2 linked regions of the Tamandua tetradactyla genome follow. The protein of the gene in region 1 purifies or fractionates together with the protein of each later gene. This does not show direct contact. Links are inferred from orthologs where the notes say so. Each region holds a gene or a part of one and is shown on either strand. Other genes may lie near its edges.

The links.
Region 2: the proteins of EXOC1 (region 1) and EXOC6B purify together in Homo sapiens (affinity purification with mass spectrometry; 3 studies listed by BioGRID and IntAct, counting the BioPlex papers as one, with this or other methods). This does not show direct contact. The link is inferred for Tamandua tetradactyla from reciprocal best matches to the Homo sapiens genes EXOC1 and EXOC6B.

The regions. Positions count from the first base shown.
Region 1 is NC_135345.1:56,285,815-56,292,878, reverse strand, and holds the start of EXOC1 (exocyst complex component 1), read right to left. Parts: upstream 3,024-7,064; 5' UTR 2,834-3,023; intron 1-2,833.
Region 2 is NC_135343.1:46,428,389-46,435,627, forward strand, and holds the start of EXOC6B (exocyst complex component 6B), read right to left. Parts: upstream 3,010-7,239; 5' UTR 2,880-3,009; coding exon 2,767-2,879; intron 1-2,766. UniProt on the Homo sapiens protein: Component of the exocyst complex involved in the docking of exocytic vesicles with fusion sites on the plasma membrane.

The DNA.
Region 1 (7,064 bases):
TCAATCCTAAGTATAAAGTATTTTATGTGTTGAGTTTGCCTAGAAAATTAAATTCTCTTTATAACACTGTTTCTATGGAAAAATGAAGAAATTATGAATGTCAAATGAGTTGCAACAAGTTTTTAAAACACAACTGATATTTCTGTAAAGTAGATCTCCTATATTTTACTCAATCTGTGAAGCTTCTATCTTTGCTCCAACTCCAAAAATTGCTTTCTCAAAAAAAATCATTCTCCTGCCTCCTTCATCTTTTATGACTCCCTCTTTCCTCTAATCTTAGCTTACCTGTTCTCTTTCAGCTGAATTTCTTTTCCCACCTAGCCTGGAAGCAGTGCTCCTTTTCCTATATTCACACTAAATTATTCAATAATCTTACCCTGTTGGTTGACCAACTGATCCTTTATGTTTTACCAATCTCCTTAAACTGTCTCTATAGTCACTTAAAAAAAAGCACATACCTAAGTTCTCTGAATACACTACAAATATCTAAATCCAGCCAGTCAGACTTTCAATGTTGCTCAACAATTCTCTAACATTTAATATGTTATTTGTTGCTTGCTTTTCCCATTCACCATCTCTGTTGTCGCAAATCTTTATTACTCTTCCTTCAGCTCCCAACTCTAGTGTCAGGTTCCTCATTCTCTGCAAATGACTTCATCACCTACTCTGCAGAAAATATAGAGAACATGACGTACAATTCTCCCCAATTGCTTTCTTCTGCATTTCTCTACATATTCACCCATCCTAACCTCTTTTCCATCTATTACTAAATACTTAACATGCTGTAGGGCTTAGATAAAGTGTTAAAAGCTCTAGTCCGTCCTATATCCAAGCCACATTGAACACTAGCCAGTTTAGGTTTCTATCTCTGAGCTTTTTGCTCATGTAATTTCCTTTTCCTGGAATTCTTTTCTCCTTTGGAATTCTACCCCATCTCTTTTAAGATACCAGTAAAATGGCACCTCTTGTGTGAAGTAGTCACAAAATAATAATTCCACTTCTACTTCTCTAAAATTTTCTTTTTACTCTGTGAACACTGGACTTGCCAACAGTATTTTCTAGCTAGCTGTATTCTTGAGTAGCTCTTTGTAGGCAAGGATCATGTCTTATTCATCTTTGTATTCCTAGAACTGGCACACTGCACATAATATACATATTATAAATATTTTTAAAAAAACACCAAATAACATAACTACAGCTCTCCCAAAGTTCAAGTCGCACATCTGCAAGCAACTGTCCAGGTTCAAAACCTCAGTCATATTTCATTCCCTTCTCCATTGTCAACATCAAATCTTTTACCACATATTGTTGCTTTCCTCCTGTACCAGTAATTTATTCCTTCCTTTCTTTTCCCACTGCCACTACAGTAAATTAGGTTCACATTACCTATGTCTATTTAATAGTACAGCATACAGTTATATCTTCGCAAGCTTCCACAATCCCCAAGTTTCTCATAAATAAATAATCTTAAAACATAGCTTTCATCACACCACACCCTTGCTCAATAGTTTCCTAATGTTCCAAAGATGAATATTCTACTCAAGCACTCTGTTCATTCCAGGCTTTAAATTTTTGCTCAGGTGCTTTTCCATGCAGGGAATGTTATCGCCTCCCTAACCAAACTCTAATTACTTTTATAGTTTATGTGAAGTCAAGATCTTAGGTACAAATTGATCTCCCCTCTCAATGTCTATAGCATTTACTACATTTATTAAACAAGCAGGCGCTTGGTGACTAATTGGTTCTGAGATCATAAATTCCTGGATCTCAAGAACTAACTGTAAAAAAGGGAGGGGGTGTGGGGGAGAGAGTGAGCAAAATGCTCTGTCAAAGTTTGGGTTTATGGTAGGTACTCATGAAACACCTCTTGAGATAACATGAACTGAATAGTACACACTGGTCAAATAAATGGACTAATGGTGGCCAACATTTACAACACAGTCCCTCTCAGGTCAAAAGCAGTAACTGAAATGTATGGTAGGTGGTAAAACAAGAGCGGATTGGGCATACCTCATAAAGGAGTTAGGCATAATGAAAAGACCCCTCATTTGTTCAGCAAATATTGATGCTTACTAGGGGCCAGGTTACAGTAGTGAACATGACAGACATTCAAGAAGATATATCCCTTCATGGCATTTATATTCTAAGGATCAAATGATAAGCTCTCCAGACTTATGTACTCTCCTGTAAATCAGTGAGTAAATCACTTAAAGTCCTCCAAAATTATTTCCCAGGTCTATGTCTGACAACGTTCCACAGGCAGTAGTCCAACGCTCACTCTGCGGTGGATTTACTCTCTGTGGTGAATTTGTCTGTGTGACAGCTTGTCAGTGAGTGTCCGTGGATTGGATCCCGTACGCTGTTGAAACATTTTAGCTCGTGGCGCACTGTCACCCAGAACAAACAAAAGCGTACGGAGTCAGAGAATTGTACTCAAGATATTTTAGAAGAAAATGTGGGTTTTGACTAAAAAGTGGAAGACTGTTACACCTCCCTTTCCTGGTCCACGCCAAAGCACGTACGATTAGGGCCGTTTTGCACAAATGAAGTCTGGTTCCTAAAAGGCAGATCCGGAAAAGGATGTGCGAGGACTGCCGCCCCTGCTACATATTCTCCTAGGCCCCAGAGAGCAAGAAGGGGAGTCTTGGCCGGACCCAGCGTCCTACCCAGAGAGGTGGGAAAGGAAAAGAGGACCTGGCAGCTGATGGAGCTATGCTCCGACCCGGGTCGCCGAGCCAGTAGCGGACTGAGATGCCACCTCAGACCCTGAAGCCCGCCCGCTCGCCTGCCCACCGCCGCAGGGTCTACTAGGCAGCCGCGGCCGAAGGCTTACCGCAGGACCGGCCCAAGCCCGCCTGCACCCAGGCGGGTCCTCCAAGACGGAGAAGGGGTGGGACTGAGGCGATGACTGCTACGGGAAGCGCCCCTCAGTTAAGCAGTGAACGGGAAACTGTGGTTCTACTACCACTTCCCATATCCGGACACGTGACAAACCTCAGAACCGGAAGTGGGCCCCGTAGAGAAGGAAGGAGAGGCGGTGGGAAAAGGGGAGTGGCCAATGACGCGACGGGGAGCGGCACCACCCGAAAGACGTAGAGAGGCGGGACCTGGCGCTGCCAGAAGGGCGTGTCAGGAAGGGCAGGGGCGGGGCGAGGCCTTTTGGCGCGCAGGCTGATCTGTGATTGGGTGCTGCGCGATATTTACTTTCTCTGGAACATTTATTTATTCACATATTTGCAGCAATTCCCTTCAAAAGAGTCCGATTAAATGTGTGTGGGTTTTTTTGTTTTGCATTTGTGAAGCTCGATTAACTCTAGACCCTTGCTACGCAAAGCATGGAGAACGAGTTAAATCGGAATCTTCGGGTTCGGACCCAGACAGCAGTACATCTGACAGCTTCCCAGATGACTTTAGTATGTAATTGAAATCGCTAAACATTGCTCTAGTGATCTCGATATTCAAAAATGTGCTCCACGGGCCAGTTTCATGGGCACTACTTGGGAGCATTTTAGAAAATACAGCCTCTCCAGCCCGGTGAAGATAATATTGAATCTGCATCCCAACATTTAACTTTTAGAAGCACAGGTGATGCCAGTGTTGCTGTTCTCAAGGCAGATGATTCATTGATTCCATAGCCCTGGCAAGTGTTTTATTTTCGGGTACTTTGATTCCAGAGGTGATTCAGATGTGTAGCCTATCCTAAAAAAATTCACAGTGCGTTAGATTAGTCAAGGTGTAGATACAAATAAATATAAAATAGGATACAAAAATAAGTGACAGAAGAGAGCTCCGGGCTAGATAAGCGTGCTGGAAGTTAAAAGGGGCGATTTATTTCCTCCTGTTTGACAGTCTTTCCCAAGGGACTGCAAGGATCCATTCATAATTCATTAACTGAACAAACAACCAGGGCTAATTTTGTGCCAGTGTTAGCTGTTGAAGATACAAAGACAGGAAAGTCACCGAAGAGGAGGCACACTCTCACCGGGGAGGAAGAATTAAATAGACGGATAAATTACAGTTTAATGAAATAAATCTGACAACAGAGGTAGAAAAAGTTTGTGCACCCTGAGAATGTACAAGAGGGAGTAACTCACTCTGTCAGGGATAGATTTACTGAGAAAGTGACAAATAAGCTGTGCAAAGTATCTTTCAGTGTTTGTCTGAAGATAAAATTCAGTGGGAAAAGCATCATAAATAGGTGGTCTGTTTGCTGTGGAAATCATAATGTTCCAGTCACACTGCTTTCGAAGACTTCATTTTCATGGATTGACTCCCCTTTCAAAAGCATGATCTCTATCTAGGCTTTATTTCTCTATAAAGACCCTCTCTGTCCCTATTTATTTGCATGTTTACAGCCCTCCTCAAAATTGAGAAATAAATTGTATTCCAAATGTATTTACATACCTTGAGCTTTTTCCCTGAACTCCACGTTTGTAGATCTAATTGTCTCCCCAGCATTTCCACATGCGTGTCCAATAGGTGTCTGAAACTTAATGCATCCAAAAACGAAATTCTTTTCTATTCCCTCCCCTCCTAAATTCCCCCCAAATAAAGGCATAAACAAGGTTTATGTGCCAATAGTTTACTTGGGATTATGAACCCAGGGAGCAAAAAAAAAAAAAAAAAAAGGGAAGGAGGAGGGAAAGTCAACATAAGCATATGTTATTGAGTTAGCCACTATTATTTTCTATTCCCTAAGATCTTCTGAAAAGTGCTATGCAATGAATCTCAAAACTGTCCACTGAGGAGAAGAATGGAGAAAGCATTTATCTGTTGGCTCCTGTCCCCTTTGATCAAAGGTTAATGCCCCCAGGATAATAACTATTCAGTACTTCCAAATTACACAATTGTTAATGCCAAACTGGCTCCCACCTCACAGGAATCGGGAAGTGAGAGGAGAGCAGTTGCCATGTTGGACTTGCCGAAGGTTGATCAAACCCTACTTAGAGCAGTTTGCTGCAGCAGTGGTTAGCAAAAGAGGATAAGGGGGTTTGAAGTAGTTCACAGGTGTCCATTTCAGTTCACTTCTTGAACCACTCAGATCTGCTTGTGCCCTTCTTTAAATTCTGTCCTTCATAGACACTCCTTCAAGGTTGCAGAGATTGCAGCTGCAATTTAATTTAATACAAGAAAATACAAGGGATTTAATACAAGAAAGTTAGTGGATAGTCTTCAGTCCTTGCTCTACACTGATGCCCAGACCATATTTGCATTCATTAACTCTGTCTTCTACTACCCATCTAACTTTCCCTCACCCTTGGGTAGCACATCGTCTAATCTAGGTTACTTCCCTAGTAAAATAGCCTAGACCTTATTTTCCTTGCACTGGTTGGGGCATAGTTACTGCAGTTGGCCTGTTCAACGTATCCCTGGGCACAGAAACACTAAGATACATTCTAATGAATTCCTTAGATTACAGATATGTTCATCCCTGCTGCTATTGTATAGAATATAGCAACAATTCTAGCTCCTTTACTAATCACAGCTGGGTACTCCTACTAGTACAGTAACCAACTCCTTTCTTTGCACCTTGTTCACTGCCATGAAAAGACCAAAGTAACCAAGTAATAGTGAGAGTTTCAAGTCCAGTGAAATCCATACTGTGTATCCAGATGGAAACCTGAATCCCAGAGGGAACCATTTATTCTGACCTAGCGAAGTCTAAATTTGAGGGGCAGGAAACACAAATTCTGTTGGTGGGTCACTGGGAGTGATAATAGGATCACTTAGCCTGAGTTTCTGCAGTCACGCCTTCTAGCTATTGGAACACTAATTTGGTTAATTCAGTGCATTTACCAAATCCTGTGGGACAATACCTCAATCCACAAGGTGTGATCCCAAGCAAGCACATTAGCTAAGGCTGTAATGGGTCATTCCATCATTTTATGAGGCTGGCTGCTTCTGGGTGATTAATGATATGGCGTTATCAGTGGATTTTGTGGTTATGTATGTCTTGTCACACTTTCCCTTTCTTATTTTTTGGTCGCAAGTAATGTTGATAAGAATTGCTATAATTCCTGTGATTGTGGATGCTGGCAGTGGATGCAGGCAAGAAAGACAAACTCAGGAGTTTTTAAATATGTTTACCGCAGGCCTCTTCTTCTTCTATATAGAGTAAATCATGAAGTACACTGCTCCCAACTCTGTCATCTTGGAAACTCCCCTTCACCATTGTTCTTTAAATTTATGCCTGAGTGGGGCCTTAGAACTCCAATGTTAGCTACTCACCAACATAACGGGACAACTCATTTTTTGGACCAGGCTCGAATTTTTTCATTTTCATTAAATGGTCATGTAAAGAAGGATTTTATAAAACTTAACAGTAGCTAACTTTTCTTATGTAAAGAAGGATTTTATAAAGAAAAGAGTTATGGGCCCCATCAGGCTAAAACAACCCGGGACTTCCCAGGGGCGGTTATCTGCTGCCTTTGTTATGCAAGGTTATCTGCTGCCTTTGTTATGCAAGGTTTTCTGCTGCCTTGGTTATGCAAGGTTGTAACTGCCGGAGAAAGTTTATCTAAGAATGCAACTGAGAAGGTTGAGTAAGGGAGTTTTGCATGAGACAGCTGCTTCTTGCAAGAAGCAGCTCCCATGACTCATGCGCGAAAAATGTTTGTTATCTGCTTCTCGCAAAATGTTCGTTATCTACTTCCTGCATAAAGCAGAACCTGTAACTAATGTTCAACCCTCAAACCCCACACCCTTATCCTGGCCCTCAAAAGGCTTCCCAAAACCCAGGTTCGGGGCTCTCTGTCCCTGCGTGTTCAGTGAGCCCCACGCATGTGTGGTAAATAAACCCCTTGCGTGTTGCATGAGAGAACGTCTCTTGGAGTCCTCCTTTGCACGGCAAAACTCTCAAATTCTTACAGTCATAGAGAACTTCCAGGAAGCCATAGTTGTGAGATGGTTGAGCAGGAGACATCAGTGATACAGGAATAAATGCCCTGGGAGTCAGAATGACCCATTCATGTAATTTGCTTGAGTTTTCTGGATGTGCTCAGGTTCAAGCCTATTCAGTATCATATTTCAGTAGATTTTTGCTATCCCCATGGACTTGTGACTTG
Region 2 (7,239 bases), on another chromosome or scaffold:
TGTCCTTTAGCTTCTGCTCAGTCAAAAAAACCTCTCTTGATCATATATGGTAGCCCATGACAAACTCTGGGATCTGTCCTGTAACCATTTGCTGAAGAGTGCTTTGAAAACCATTGCTTTTTTATTTCTTTGCTTTGTATATATGTTATACTATACAATAAAAAAAAGTTTAAATTAAAAAAAAACCCTCTCTCAGGAACAGCTAAGACTCCAGTGCCTTTAAAATCCTACCTCAAAAGATTGAAAAGTAGGAAAGATACTATGAAGAGGGGCAGAGGAGTTTGAGGTTCACAGGATCGTTGGGGAAGACAGCTTACTGCCTATAATGACTGTGATGGGAAAACAGGAGAAAATGATCATGGAGGTGCATCCAAGGAAAGAGCACAGGATATGAAACATCAAGCCTGTACATGCTACTGGTTCTGAATGGAATAAGGAAAAAAGGTGAGATCATCAACTGTGAATATGGGCAAGGACAAGCTACACTAACAAAGACAATGGGTACTACTTGTATTATAGGATGTTCAAGTGACTGAATCTTGGGTCTGACCATAAGATTTAAGATTATCTGCCAGAGAAAAGACAGGACCAAAAATCAAAAGCCCCTAACAATAATACAGGGAATCAGGAAAAGCAACTAAAACTATGGGTTAGTGCAGTGATTACCAAACTTTTTCTTTTTTTTTTTTTTTTTTTTTGGCTCTCTTAGGACAAAAGATACCTCAGTTCATCTACCCCCAAAAAAAAGCCTACTTTCCAATGCAAAAAAAGAACTTGGAAATAACAATAAAGCAAGGTTTGGAGTGAATGGTTAATTTATATTTGAACCATAATGCATATTTTTCTTAGTCAAGATACCAGAAAAAATAAAGGCTAAAATTCAGTTGATAGACAAATATGAATCTGTACTCAGTGGAGGGTTAAACTAATAAGCCACAACAAACAAAACTGTTAACAAAACTTGTCATTTACCATATAAAACATGAACAAAAGCAACTGAAAACCAAAACCAATTTAAGACAACACTGATAGTGCTCTGGTAAAGAAAACTTCCTAAAAATTTTGGTAATCTTAACTGCACACATCCACTAGGAACTTGGCTGGGTTGCTAACTGCAGCTCAGCAGCCAAATTTCTTAATAGAAACATTTTATTTTATGAAAATCAAACAATAACTATTAAATATGCACTTGGTAGTATTCCATTAAGTAACCCTTAGTTTTTGTAAAAACCTATGAAATGAAAATCATTCACTCTTAAGAACTTAAGAAAAGGAAAAAAGAAAGGAGCACGATGGTCTATAGCATAATGTATGGGCTAAGGGGACAGAGGTAAGGGAAGACGATGCAGGACTGCACCAGATTAAAGAACTGATTCGAAAAGGGAGCCACAAGTCACTTTACAGAGACAAAAGACAGATTACTGAGGATGGTCATGTCCAGAGATAGCAATGGAAGAACTCTGTTAAAGCACACTGAAGAAGAAAGCTTCAGATGAAGGTAAAGCTGAGGAGCAAAATCTCCAGCGGTCCCTCTTTCATGAGACAACTCTCTCCAAGAAAGAGCAGGCAATGAGTAACTCTTTTTGAGTAGCTGTGACCTAAGACTGCACAAGGTGGGTAAGATAATTATCTACTTATTGGCAGCAGGGAGCTCAGGAGGCACCACAGGAAGGACTGAAGATGAGTTAGCTCTAGGGCATTAGTAAACCGAGAAGGGGGAAAGTAGTTCTAAATTGGAAAGTTATTATCAACAGGAAGGTCAGATAAATCACAGACCCCAACTGAGGCAGAACCATAGTTTAGAGCCTAGAAATCTGGATCCAGCCTGCATAGGAATCTGGACTTCTCCACCTTATTTCCTGTGTGACTTTTCAGCAAGTCACTTAATCTCTTTGTGCCTCATCTGTAAAATAAGAGCAGTAACAGTACACACCTAGTAGGACTGTTTTGCGGTTGAAATGAATATTTGTAAATCACTTAATACAATCTTTTGTACTGTATTAAATGACTACAATGCATACGATAAATGCTCCTTAATAAACTGCGATAGGCCAGGGTTTGCTTTGATCTCACTATATGAAACAGAGAAGGGCGAGTGAAGTAATGGTAGTGGGCGGGAGTGGGTGCGCGGGAGAGGGATAGATTTTTTTCATCAATGAGAATGCCATGATCCCGGGCCTTAGGGAGGGTCCGTCGTCCTGATTGGGATCGGTGAGCACTCGCTCCCAGCTGAGGGTTGCTTGTTGAAGGGGCCTTCCTTCCAGGGCCTAAGATTTTCAATGTCTCACTACTCAGAAGTGGTTGTGATTTTAAGGACGCAAGAGTTTAATTTCCGAGCAAGAGGCCATGGGGTGAGATTCTGTTTTGTCTGACGAGAAGGACTCACGCCTAGGGCGGGACAGAGTGCGAGTCGGAGGGAAAGGGTGATATCCCCAGGGGGGGAAGATGTACTGAGAGCCACCATCTGTCCGGCGCTCTCTGGTTGCCCGGCGCTGGGCTCGCCTCTAAGTTGGGAAGGAAAGCCTGTCCAGCCCCGAGGGAGGCAGGAGGAGCCTCCTCAGGAACCCGGCTGTGGGGCAGTCGGGAAGAACCCCACGTCGAGGTTGCGGCGGGAGACCCGCCTCACCGAAGGCGGAGGTCGCTTGCAAGTCTTCCCGAAAGAGGCGGGTCACGTCGGCCACGCGGACGACTGGCCTGACAGATGGACGCGAATGAGGCTTGCCTGCCCGTGCCGCCCGTCGGTGGCCCCTGAAGAACCCGGAATACCTGAGCGTGGGCCCGATGCAGGCCGTGTCGGTACTCTCGATCTCTCGCAGGATCCGCTCGTGCTCTGCCGCTGTCTCCAGGCTCTCCGCCTCCGCCATCTTACCCCAATTCATGAACTGGGGGCGCTCGGTTGCGCGTCCCCCCCTTTAGCCCGGCCCACCTTTCGCTCCCTCACACCGCCTCCCAGCCGGAGCTCCACTGCCGCCCCAGCCTCCGGACACCCGCAGAACGACCCCTCCCTCAGTCTCGGCACGCCCTTTGCGTCATCACGTCTGGCGGCCTTCCGCGCGATTCGCGCTGGGAAGTGTAGTTCTACTGGAGATCCTCGCCTAGGCGCCATCCGTTTACTCATGGATTCCACAAATAGGTATTGAAAGCTCTCTGCAAGCCAGAAACAGTTGAGGACACTACATATACAGCGGTGAACAAGTCAGGCAATGGCATTAATCCAACAATTTCTTGCTTGACACCCTTGCCACAAAGTGCAGAGGTCTGTACATGACTGATGAACGCAAGGGGAAACTGTGGTATATACATTCAATGGAATATTGAGCAGCTGCAAGAAGGAGTGAAGTTGTGACGCATGCAACTAGGTGAATGGACCTTGAGGAGAGTTTGTTGAGTGAAATAACCCAGAAATGAAAAGACATATTATAATGCCTCACTAATATGGACTAACGACAATGTGAAACTCTGAAAATTGAATTTGAGAGCATAGGTTATCAGAGTCTATTGTAAAGGTTCCTAGATTGTAAGCTCTTACGTCAGTCACGTCTATTCCTGAGTTGTAACTTTTATTTTTAAATTCTGGGGTGTAACACTCTTTATGTATAACCTGATGGTTCCCTGGAACTTTGGGTATCTGTGTGACGCCTGAGACTCAGAGCTAGAGTGCTGCAGCTATGAAAGTCAGCATTACCCCATATAGCAACTGTTTAAAAAGCCCAAAAACAGATCAGACTTCGATAATAGATATGAAGCCGATCTCATCAGCACTAAATCAGACAAAAGGGTAAAGGATGCTATTGACTGTATTTTAAAACTTCAACTTCTAGGTCAGACCAAAGAAAGAGATTTTGGTACAAAATTTATATTTTCTGTAGCACACTAATTTAACTTTTATAGTCAGCTTATTCAAACACCATAATTACACAGAACCTTGACTAGGGAGTGAGATCTTGTTGGTTTGTACAGGTTAATGTGATGCCCTGATTCTGGGTAGAAAATAAAAAGGTATTTGCTAAGTCCCTTTGAGGGACTGGGGGAAAAGGAGGAAATATTTCCACCTGGGGAAGACCTTACATTCTTGGAAGCATTGGGGTCTACCAATTTAATAGGCTAAGCCCTAAATCCTTGGGCTTGCCCATATGAAATTTATTTCTACAACAGAGAATCTAAAACTACTTATAATTATGCCTAAGGATCACACCCAGAGAACCTCTTTTGTTGCTCAGATGTGGTCTTTCTAAGCCAACTCTACAGGTAAACTCACTGCCCTCCCCACTACATGGGACATGACTCCCAGGGGTGTAAATCTCCTTGGCAATATGAACCTGACTCCTGGGGATGAGCCTGGTCCTGGCATCATGGGATTAAGAAAGACTTGTTAATCAAAAGGGGGAAGATAAATGAAACAAAATTAAGTTTCAGTGGCTGAGAGATTCCAAATACAGTTGAGAGGTCATTCCGGAGGTTATTCTTATGCATTATATTGATATCCCTTTTTAGTTTTGGTGTATTGGAGTAGCTAGAGGGAAATGCCTGAAACTGCTGAGCTGTAATCCAGTAGCCTTGATTCTTGAAGATGATTGTATAAACTATATAGCTTTTACATTATGACCTTGTGATTGTGAAAACCTTGTGACTGACAAGTCACAAAATAAGCAAGAAAATAAAGACAATAAATAAATAATAGGGGCGATAGGGGGTATGAGATGTTTGGGGTGTTCTTTTTGCATTTACTATTATTTTTATTCTTACTGTTATTGTTTATGGAGTAATGAAAATGTTAAAAAATCTATTGTGATGATGTTCCAGTTTGCTAGCTGCCGGAATGCAATATACCCGAAATGGAATGGCTTTTAAAGGGGGAATTTAATAAGTTGTTAGTTTACAGTTCTAAGGCCAAGATAATGTCCCAATTAAAGCAAGTCTATATAAATGTCCAATCAAAGGCATCCATGTAAAGATACCGTGGTTCAAGAAGGCCGATGAACTTCAGGGTTTCTGTCTCAAGTGAGAAGGCACATGGCGAACATAGTCAGGGCTTCTTTCTCAACTGGAAAGGCGCATGGTGAATAAGGCATCATCTGCTAGCTTTCTCTCCCAGCTTCCAGTTTCATTAAGCTCCCTGGGAGGCATTTTCCTTCATCTCAAAAGGTCACTGGCTTGTGGACTGTCTGCTTCGTGGTGCTGCAGCATTCTCTGCTCTCTCCAAATCTCTCTCATTCTCCAAAATATTTCCTCTTTTGTAGAAATCTAGTAAACTAATCACGACCCACCCAAATGGGTGGAGACACACCTCCACCTAATCCAGATTTAACCACCCTTGATTAAATCACATTTCCAGGGAGATGATCTGATTACAGTTTCAAACACACAATACTGAATAGGGATTAGAAGAAATGGCTGCCTTTACAAAATGGGATTAGGATTAAAACATGGCTTTTCAAGGGTACATACATCATTTCAAACCAGCACATTCCACCCTCTGGGCCCTAAAAAAGACATGTTTTCCCCAGATACAAAATACATTCATTCCATAACAATATCAGAAATCCTTAAACCATTTCAGTAGCAATACAAATGAAATACAAAGTTAGAAACAGTACAAACTCCTAACAAAGTTAGCTACAGGCATGGTCTGTTCTAAGGCAAACTGCTCCTCTGTCTCTGGACCTCTGAAAACTCTTAACAAGTTGTTTGCTGCCAACATACAAAGGAGGAACAGTGATGGGATACATATACCCATTTCCACAGGGAAGAAGGAACCCAGAGGTCACTGGACCCATACAGTTTTGAAAACTCACAGGTCAAAGTCCACTATAGATTTCAAAGACTTAGAATCATTTATCTTCAGGTCTTTAGAAAGTAGAACTCCTACCCTTTCCAAATGCCTATGCAGAGGCCTGCCTCTCTCTGAATGCAATCTTGGGGGACACTGGGAAGACCACCTTTTTCTCAGCTCCACCCTCTCCAAGCACTGGGGCTGCACAGGCTCTCTGCCATCTCTGGGGCACACACTCAACCCCTCCATGTGATGGCAGCCAGGCTCTCCCCAAACCCCAAGAAATGTGCTTCACCCTCTCCAAGGCCTGAGGCGGCATGACTCTTCCACTGCAAAGAGGTAGAAGGCCCATCCTCTGCCTTCAGGGCAAATTCAATCCACGAGATTGCGTGGGTCCACTTTCTTGGCCCGAGGCCTCTTGACTTCAGACCCTGGTCACCATGGTTTTGCCTCTGAAGTTATTTTCCCTCCAATGTGTCCCTTCTCTGAACCCCCCAGTCTAGACTGGCATCAGTCAGTTTATACAGGTCCCACAGCACTCTCGTTGGCTTTCTATGCAGTAGCCTTGGATCATACCCATCAGACATAAGGAGTTTCCACAAATTCTTCCTGGGTAACTGCATGTCTGATCCTGGCTTTCTCTCAGATGGCTGACTGGTTTCACATTTGGCCAGATCCTCAAATGGGGCACCATTCTTTTGGGTCTCCCCTCCTGGAAGCCCAGAATTTTCCAGTAACAGCAATTTCTGGTTTCTCTGTACCCAAGAGTTCAGTTCTCAGTTTATCTCTTTCCTGTCACAGTTCACTATAAGCTGCAAGGAGAAACCAGGCTGCACTTTCCACATTTAATTTGGAGATCTCTTCTGCTAAATATCCAAGTTCATGGCTTTTAAACTCTGCCTTCTAGCCAAAGCCACTAGTCAAATTATCTGCTATTTTAAAACAAGGCTCACTTTCCTTCCAGTCTATAATAACACATGCCTCATTTCTGTCTAAGGCTTTATCAGAAGTGTCTTTAGAGTCCACATTTCTACCAACAGTCTCTTCAAAGCATTTGAGGCCTTCTCTATCAAGCTCCTCACAACTCCTCCAAAATCTTCCCCTTATCCATTTAAAAAGCTGTTCTAACATGTTTGGTATTTGCAAACAGCAGTAGCACCCCACTCCTGGTACCAAAATCTGTTCTAGTTTGCTAGCTGCCAGAATGCAATATACCAGAAATGGAATGGCTTTTAAAAAGGGGAATTTAGTAAGTTGCTAGTTTACAGTTCTAAGGCTGAGAAAATGTCCCAATTACAACAACTCTATAGAAATGTCCAGTCAAAGGTATCCATGGAAAGATACCTTGGTTCAAGAAGGCCAGTGAAGTTCAGGGTTTCTCTCTCAAGTGATAAAGAACATGGCGAATACAGTCAGTTTCTCTCTCAGCTGGAAGGGCACATGGCAAACAAGGCATCATCTGCTAG